2 linked regions of the Arabidopsis thaliana genome follow. The protein of the gene in region 1 interacts with the protein of each later gene in a pairwise test. Each region holds a gene or a part of one and is shown in the gene's direction. Other genes may lie near its edges.

What was found. Proteins that work in one complex are often made in the same cells at the same time.
Region 2: the proteins of AT5G15040 (region 1) and NF-YA8 interact in a two-hybrid assay, tested with the Arabidopsis thaliana proteins (one large-scale study listed by BioGRID).

What each region holds. Positions count from the first base shown.
Region 1 is NC_003076.8:4,869,103-4,873,219, reverse strand, and holds AT5G15040 (Paired amphipathic helix (PAH2) superfamily protein), read left to right. Parts: upstream 1-2,478; 5' UTR 2,479-2,731; intron 2,732-2,944; 5' UTR 2,945-2,966; coding exon 2,967-3,073; intron 3,074-3,155; coding exon 3,156-3,312; 3' UTR 3,313-3,466; downstream 3,467-4,117. Other genes in the region: AT5G15050 (Core-2/I-branching beta-1,6-N-acetylglucosaminyltransferase family protein), read left to right, coding at 1-363, 452-527, 611-726, 886-1,400.
Region 2 is NC_003070.9:6,049,004-6,054,467, reverse strand, and holds NF-YA8 (nuclear factor Y, subunit A8), read left to right. Parts: upstream 1-1,839; 5' UTR 1,840-2,064; exon of another isoform or gene 2,065-2,415; 5' UTR 2,416-2,483; coding exon 2,484-2,766; intron 2,767-2,916; coding exon 2,917-3,017; intron 3,018-3,098; coding exon 3,099-3,173; intron 3,174-3,380; coding exon 3,381-3,536; intron 3,537-3,615; coding exon 3,616-3,987; 3' UTR 3,988-4,304; downstream 4,305-5,464. Other genes in the region: AT1G17600 (Disease resistance protein (TIR-NBS-LRR class) family), read left to right, coding at 88-1,179, 1,254-1,442; MYA1 (myosin 1), read right to left, coding at 5,159-5,282, 5,383-5,464. UniProt on the Arabidopsis thaliana protein: Stimulates the transcription of various genes by recognizing and binding to a CCAAT motif in promoters.

The sequences.
Region 1 (4,117 bases):
CCGTCTCTCCTCCTCCGCCGCCACGTCTCGCTTATCTAATCTCCGGCTCCTCTGGTGACGGTCAGATGCTGAAACGAACTCTAATGGCGCTTTATCATCCCAACAACCAGTACGTTGTTCATCTCGATCGGGAATCTTCACCGGAGGAACGATTGGATCTCAGTGGTTTTGTGGCGAATCATACTCTGTTTCAGAGATTTCAAAATGTTCGGATGATTGTTAAGGCTAATTTCGTTACGTATCGTGGTCCAACTATGGTGGCTAATACACTTCACGCTGCAGCGATTTTGCTTCGTGAAGGTGGTGATTGGGATTGGTTCATCAATCTCAGTGCCTCTGATTATCCTCTCGTAACACAAGATGGTAACGAAATTTAGATCTTATAATCTCAGACTCTGTTTATTGTTTTAATTGAATCATTTGAGGTTTATTATGTCGATTCGATTTTCAGATCTGTTGCATACGTTTTCGTATCTTCCTCGAGATCTCAATTTCATCGATCATACAAGCAACATTGGCTGGAAAGAGTGAGTTTAGCTAGCTACATTACAATCTACAACAGTTTGTTTTTGGCAACTTTCTCTGATAATTTTGGTAAAAACTTGTATAGGTCTCATAGAGCAAAGCCTATAATTATTGATCCTGGTTTGTATATGTCAAAGAAAGCTGATGTTTTCTGGGTTTCACAGAAGAGAAGTATGCCTACAGCTTTCAAACTCTTCACAGGTGCTTTCATTTTTCATAATCTTTCCTGTTTTGGGTAATCAACATAATGGGAATGTCTAAATGTAGAGTCTTCCTTAAATGTAGGATCCTTGTTACACTCATTGATGTGATATAACAATTCTTAGGCTCTAATGGTTTTTTGATGTTGTTGGTTAATAGGATCTGCGTGGATGATGTTATCTAGACCTTTTGTGGATTATTTCATATGGGGATGGGATAATCTTCCTCGAATTGTGTTAATGTATTACGCAAACTTCCTTTCATCGCCAGAAGGTTACTTCCACACTGTGATTTGCAATGCTCGAGAGTTTACCAACACAACGGTTAACAGTGACTTACATTTCATCTCATGGGACAATCCTCCAAAGCAACATCCTCACCATCTTACATTAGATGATTTCCAGAGAATGGTGGACAGTAACGCTCCTTTTGCTAGGAAATTCCGTAGAGATGAGCCTGTTCTCGATAAGATTGATTCGGAACTATTGTTTCGGAGTCACGGGATGGTCACTCCGGGTGGTTGGTGTATTGGTACGAGGGAAAACGGGAGCGATCCGTGTGCGGTGATTGGTGATACGTCGGTTATTAAACCTGGTCTTGGAGCTAAACGGATCGAGAAACTCATAACTTATTTGTTATCTACTGAGAATTTCAGACCACGGCAATGCCGGTAATGGCAAATTAGAGTTTTGTCATAGAGATGGTTACGTGGTTTTTCACACAAATGAACTGTATTGATTATCCGATACTTTGATATGGTTGTATAGAGATCTTTTTGGACTTTCTTCATTTGAGAAAGTGCAGAAATTTCGGGAAAGATCATTGATTATTGGAATTTGTCTTCTATTGCCGACCTAAAGTTTGGCCTTTTCCAACTTGATACCAATTTTATAGGTTTGTCACATATTAGTCATGTCCTTTTTATTGTTTGCATGATGAAGTTACCTGACTATTGTGACTAACATATAGGTGTTTCATTGATATTATTGCTTTTGAATTAATTTGATACATGATTCAATAACTCACATTGATATTGTTGTTTTAAATTTATAGATATACACCCATGTGACTAAGTGCAAATTACATGAGGGCCTATTGATGGTCACTACTCATTCCATGTGACTGACTGGTGGCAAAGATTTGGTTTGAATTTGATTTATCAAATGTTTTGGAAATATTATATTACTCAAGAAGTCAAGATTATATTACTTCTGCTCTGATTTTTTATTATCAAAGATTCTTAATGATAAACAAAAATCTCTAAAAGTCTGACATGTAAAATTTATTCAAAAAATCATCATAGCAGAAGCAAGAAGCTTATCAAATGAACATAGTAAAATGTCACAAAAATATATATAATGGCTCTCATTCAAAGCTGTCACATAACATTAAATATATATTTCATTAAAATGTCACAAAAATAGCAGAAGCAAAAATATATTTATATTTCTAACAAGAATCCATATCGAATACTGACAAATAAACAATTGAGAACAGAGTTTGGTCTAAAATTCTCAGTCACGGTTTCATATACGGACCAATTGTGGCAGTATTTGCTCATCAACTGAAACTGTAACAAAATATCCATATTAGTAAATATAAAACAAAGAAGAAATGCAGATGAATACTTACAATAAGGCCTAACCTCGACCTATAAAAGCCCATTATTAATTTAGGCCCAACGACGTTACGAAGAGAAACGTACGGCACCATTTGGCGCCTTTATTTATAATTTGTTTGTCATGCGTTGTGATTTGGGTCTCTTCTCATCACAAGTCGCAACGCTTAATCGTATCTGCCTAGAACATTTTCTGGTACATGTATGTATAATCGTCGGTGATGGAAGTGTTTCTTCTTCTAGATTCTGCTCTCGCTTCAAAGATCTGATTGATTTGTTTCATATCTTTCCAAGTAACCTCTCTAATTGTTTATCTTTTGTTTATCCCTGATGCAATAAACGTTCCAAGCGGACTCCTGATGCAATAAACGTTCCAAGGTCTCGAAGGTTAGTTTCCTAATCTTTAAGTGTGTTGGTGCTATCGTGGGTTGTTTTTGGGCTACTTGTTGCTTGTCTAAAGATAACTGTAAACTTTCAAAACTTGCGACTCTCTGAATTCCTCTTTTGGCTTGTGGGCGAATTGTTAGTTTTCTTTATTACGTGAATGTGTAGGAACATGTTATAATGTCTGTCTCTATTGTTCTTTGGGTTTTGGTGCAGGCATGGAAGAAGAAGAGACATTATGGCTGAATGTAGGGCATACTTTATGGAAGTGAAAGATACGTTTCATGATCAAATTGAAAAATATGATATGTTCAAGAATATTTTGTTAGATTTGAAGGCACGAAGGTAAGATGATTGCTTTTTTTTTTTTTTTGGTTTAGCCTTAAGGTTTTGATGAGTTTGCTCAAAGAATTTCTTGCATTCACAGGATTGGTCGTCATACTGCGTTTGCTCAATTGAAAGAGTTGTTCAAGGAGCACAACGAATTGATTATCGGATTTAACACCTTTTTGCCAACTGGATACAAGATAGCTCTTGATGATGACGTAGAAGACTCTTTTAGCTCGACTGCAAGAAACTATTGAAATTATCTTGTCATATTTTTTCTACTCAAATGATACGATCAAAATCTCTAAATTAGTCTCTCTATTCAGTTCTTGATGGTTTATCGAGTATCTTTGCTTTGCCATGCATGTAGGAATTTCACTATGATAAAGTTTGACCTTTTGCTATCTTCTTTACGTCCACTTAATTTCTTTATTTACTTAATTTGACCTTCGGCAAAAGCATTATTATCTACTTATTATTTTTTATTCTTAATGAAAAAAAAAACTGAAGTATATATGAAATTTGTAATATTCTAACGAGAAGTTAAAATCATAGATTGAAAAAAGAACTATATTGAGATCATAGTTTGATTGTTACAAATACTAAAAATCATTAAGAATTTCTTCATCATATCGTTGCAGTATTTTCTCATCAACTGATACAATAACAATTCAAAAAAAAAGTGAAAACGATTTTATTCCTTTTTATTAATGTTTATTTTTTAGCTGTCAAATAAAAGAGAGAGCATATTCTACAGAACTTCAGGGATGAAAAAAGGCCTCTTTATATATATAGCCTTACACTATGATCACATTGGTTCTACAGTATGATGTTACAAATACTAAAAATCACAAAGATTTCTCTCCATCATATTGTTGCTGTATTTGCTGATCAAATGTAACCAAAAATATCCAAAAAGTCAAATATTAAAACAAAGAAAATAAGAATAGCGAGATGAATACTTAAATAAGGCCTAACTACGGCCTATAAAAGCCCATTATTTATTATAGGCCCAAATAAGTTACGAAGAGATGGCACCATTTGGCGCCTTTATTTATATCT
Region 2 (5,464 bases), on another chromosome or scaffold:
TTTTGATAGAGCAATGGTGTGAAAACAGAGAATCCTTGCGAGAAACATAATTCCAACTATTTCCATGTGTTGTTGTATCTTGCTCAGATGTTGAAGAGTTTGAAGAGACTAGATGTGACGGGATCTAAGCATCTCAAGCAACTTCCAGATCTTTCAAGTATCACGAGTCTTGAGGAATTGCTTCTGGAACAATGCACGAGACTGGAGGGCATTCCAGAGTGTATTGGAAAAAGGTCTACCTTAAAGAAGCTTAAGCTATCCTACCGTGGAGGGCGTAGAAGTGCCCTGCGGTTTTTTCTACGAAAATCTACAAGGCAGCAACATATTGGATTGGAGTTCCCAGACGCAAAAGTGAAAATGGATGCACTTATAAACATATCGATTGGGGGAGACATTACTTTTGAGTTTCGTTCAAAATTTAGAGGATATGCTGAATACGTCTCTTTTAATTCTGAGCAACAGATACCCATTATATCGGCGATGAGTCTGCAACAAGCACCTTGGGTCATCTCAGAGTGCAACAGATTCAATTCCCTCCGCATCATGAGGTTCAGCCACAAAGAAAACGGTGAATCTTTCTCCTTTGACGTCTTTCCAGATTTTCCCGACCTGAAAGAGCTAAAACTAGTGAACTTAAACATCAGGAAAATCCCATCTGGGATTTGTCACCTGGATTTACTAGAGAAGCTGGACCTCAGCGGAAATGATTTTGAGAACTTACCAGAAGCTATGAGTAGCCTTTCCCGGTTAAAAACTCTCTGGCTTCAAAACTGCTTTAAGCTCCAGGAGTTGCCAAAGCTAACTCAGGTGCAGACACTTACACTTACCAACTGTAGGAACCTTAGATCATTGGCGAAACTATCTAACACAAGTCAAGATGAGGGAAGATACTGTTTGCTTGAGCTTTGCCTTGAAAATTGCAAGAGTGTTGAATCATTGTCAGATCAGCTTAGTCATTTCACCAAGTTGACATGTTTAGATCTCAGCAACCATGATTTTGAGACATTGCCATCAAGCATCAGAGATCTTACCTCATTGGTAACACTTTGCCTCAATAACTGCAAGAAACTCAAATCGGTGGAAAAACTTCCCTTGTCTCTCCAATTTCTCGATGCACACGGCTGTGATTCTCTCGAAGCTGGTTCTGCAGAACATTTTGAGGACATACCAAACAAGGAGGTGAATACTTGGCTCTTGATCCGTCTCTACTATGATTGATGTAGTTACCCTTTATCATCTCCCTTCTTTTATAGGCACATACACGAAATGACTACTTCCAAGAAACTGAGATGTCGAGTTATGTACTGAAAACTCAAGCCACAAGAAATCGCCAAACCATCCGCCTTCCCAAGATCACACATGCGGTTATGTATGTAGGCATCCCTATCTGCATCACGCTAGTGGCTGCTCTTGTGATTTTACTCCTGCGTGTTTTCAAGTGAAACTCAAGACTCAGCAACAGCTTCCTCAAGACTTAAACTGTGTGCTTTCTTCTGTAATTTACCAGGTAGTAACAAACTTACTACATTTCAAGTCTCCCTTGCTTCTGCTTCTCTCTCTCTTTTCCACTCGCATTTTGGAACTGAGTTCCACTATATCCAAAGAACGCTTCAAGATTTTGTCCATAAACACAAAGAGTAGGCAGATTAGCTTTGCTTTAGATGCTTCAGCTGCCATATAGTTGCTCACTAGATTAGGCTTTTGACGATAGTTTTACTTTGTAAAGTGGATAGGCAGATAACTAGATAAGTGTTTACTTTGTTAAGTGAACAAAATAATAAGTCAATAAGATTAGAAAACTAATATATTAATTAAGCATTAAAAATACTAATGAAGGTGGCGGTACTGCTAATAATGGAGCTGGTGATTTTGTTGGAAAGGTAATGACTTTATAAGAGAGAAAATTGTGAGTGACGGAAATGAAGCATCAAAAGAATACACACACACACATACACACTGTTGAGTATCTATCTGAGAGAATAAGCAAAAGAGAAAAGAGATTTACTTTGTTTTGATAGGCATCCCTTGAGTTCCTGTTCTTCATCTCTTCCTTGAATCCGTAAGGTCTCTCTATCTCCTTCTCTTTGAATCCGTCATTTCTTCGCTTTTTTTTAGAGTGATGTGCTGATTCGGAAATCTTCTGGAAATTTCTTCCCAAGTCAACGCCTTTTAGGACGAAAGTAATGGTGCTGATTTTAGTTGGTCGGAACTTTACTTTTTTTTCTGCCGCGCTCTTCTAATAGTTTGCCCGAAATAGTTCTGAATGTTGCTCTGTTTCTGGGTTTTTTTCCCTTTTTGGATTATCCCCTTCTTTGTCTACTACATCGTCAAAGGTTTTGCTGTTTCCAGGAATAAATATCTTTTGAAAGTTTTATCATTTATAAAGATGTTCTGAATTTGGAGCTTCTTTGACAGACACATGTATCATCAATCTTCTCTGTTGAAGCAGAGAGAGAGAGAGCTAATTGTTGCCTCTGAGTCACATGGATAAGAAAGTTTCATTTACTAGCTCTGTGGCACATTCAACTCCACCATACCTTAGTACTTCCATCTCATGGGGACTTCCAACCAAATCCAATGGTGTGACTGAATCACTGAGTTTGAAGGTGGTAGATGCAAGACCAGAACGTCTTATAAACACAAAGAATATCAGTTTCCAGGACCAGGATTCATCTTCAACTCTGTCCTCTGCTCAATCTTCTAACGATGTTACAAGTAGTGGAGATGATAACCCCTCAAGACAAATCTCATTTTTAGCACATTCAGGTCCGTTTTAAACAACTTTGGGTTCTAGACAACTCACTATGATCTATTATGTTGAAGACGCATGGTGTTTTAGCTTGATCTTTGGTCCCATTTACGAAAGAATCCATCCCTTTGTCCTGAAAATGTTATCTTTCGCTCTCTTTCTTTCAGATGTTTGTAAAGGATTTGAAGAAACTCAAAGGAAGCGATTTGCAATTAAATCAGGCTCCTCCACGGCAGGAATCGCTGATATTCACTCTTCTCCTTCCAAGGTACCCGTATATCTACTACGAGTGACGATAAGCAGTACTTGTGATTGTTTACTGACATCTTGTGTTATACTCTGGTTTCAGGCTAACTTCTCATTTCACTATGCCGATCCACATTTTGGTGGTTTAATGCCTGCGGCTTACCTACCACAGGCAACAGTAAGTATATCCTCCTTGATTACATATGGTGAGGAGAATATTTATGCTAAACCTCATTTTTACTTAAGGTGGACTTGTTATGTAACATTATGCTCTGAAGTAGTTACATATACAGCTATAGAAAGAAATGCCATCCTTAAATGGTGAATTAGTCTTGCAATTTATTTCTCCATTTGAGATTTCAGTTTGCTTAAAAACTTTCTGCAGATATGGAATCCCCAAATGACTCGAGTTCCGCTACCATTCGATCTCATAGAGAATGAGCCTGTCTTTGTCAATGCAAAGCAATTCCATGCAATTATGAGGAGGAGGCAACAGCGTGCTAAGCTAGAGGCGCAAAACAAACTAATCAAAGCCCGTAAGGTATAGTATTTTGGTCAGCGTTTCGGTATCTTACTTTGGTTTAATGACTAAACATAACTCATTATCAAATATCATACAGCCGTATCTTCATGAATCTCGACATGTTCACGCTCTTAAACGACCTAGAGGATCTGGTGGAAGATTCCTAAACACCAAAAAGCTTCAAGAATCTACAGATCCAAAACAAGACATGCCAATCCAACAGCAACACGCAACGGGAAACATGTCAAGATTTGTGCTTTATCAGTTGCAGAACAGCAATGACTGTGATTGTTCAACCACTTCTCGCTCTGACATCACATCTGCTTCTGACAGCGTTAATCTCTTTGGACACTCTGAATTTCTGATATCAGATTGCCCATCTCAGACAAACCCAACAATGTATGTTCATGGTCAATCAAATGACATGCATGGAGGTAGGAACACACACCATTTCTCTGTCCATATCTGAGCCGGTGGAATCTGGTAATGTGTACGTTCCTACAAAAAAAGGGAAGTCATCCTTGGCTGCTACTTCGCTTATTAGCTAGTTCTTATTTCACACGCTTTGTCCAGATATCATTTGAATGACCAAAAACCTTCAAGCTTCAACTCTTTACTTTTCGTCTGTCGTTTGTACCATGGATCATCGTGTGTTAAGTCAGTGATTGGATTGGAGTGATGAATGTAAATGTAAATCTGATAACCGATAAGTCTCTGCTCTTTGCTTATTCATAGTTAGTAAAGCTAAACCAGATTCATACACTCCATTCCGGTGTTGTTTATATCATATATCATAGTCATAGAACACATTGACTAGAAGCGCAGCTTGGTCCCAATCCTCTGTAACAAGCCGTCCAACCACCTTCCCCGACCAAGTTTCTAACCGTCTGTAGATAGTCAGACTGCAGTTCCTATCGTTACTACTACTACTATTACTATCTTCCACATTTAGAACCTGCAGTCTAGTCTTTAATTATGTCACTGTAATCAAAGCGGAGACACTACCAGCAATGGCGGCAGTAACACCTTGAACAAATGTTCCCTAAACGCTTTTCTGTCTGAGTACCCCCGAGTTACAATCACTAGCAGTGTATTTATACACAAAGGGAATATCTCTTAACACAGATATGTTTCCAAAAACATACAAACATAACTAAAGACTAGACTGTAAAGGATGACGGGAAATTGCAATGTTTCTTTTGCAACACGTTTTCACCACGTGTCGATGTTGTTGACACATTAACTAACGCAAGAGTTATCCTTCTTTTGATCTTTTCCTTGATGTAATACTTTGGGCTTCAATTTTGGGCTTCAACTTTGGCCTTGTAAACTTGTTTGGATCAGTCAATAAAGAACAATAGTGACAAAAAAAAAAACTAATAATTTGAAAAATGATAAACAAAGTAAAATTCATTAAGCAAATGGCCTATCAACGCATGGACACAACAAATATTTAGTTCACATATATATATTTTTTCCTACCCAATATACCCCTATTAATAGTAGAACAGTACCAGAAAGCCACTGGCAAAGATAGGCATATGTACTAATGTACAGGCTTTGTTTTTGAAAGCACAATACTGATCTCCTAATCTGAAAATGTCCTAGCGATCGATCGGGTATAGGGAACTTTGACTACTTCAATCTGACCTTTCCAACAAGAACATGAAGTTGGAGTTTTGGCGGATCAACGGAGGAGGATCAACCTCTGCAACCTCTACGTTTTGCATCGATTTGGAGATATCGTCAAGCGAGAATGGGATGCTGCAAAAAGCAATCAAACCAAGACACATAATTTTTTTTATCAAAATATCAATCTTCTAAAAAGTGATTTGTTTTGTTAATGTTTCTTTCAAGGGTTTACCTCGAATCGTCGTCTAGTAAAAATGAATTGCTGATCGCGCTCTTTGATACATCTGACACCTCTGCCCGCATGGTTGCTATCA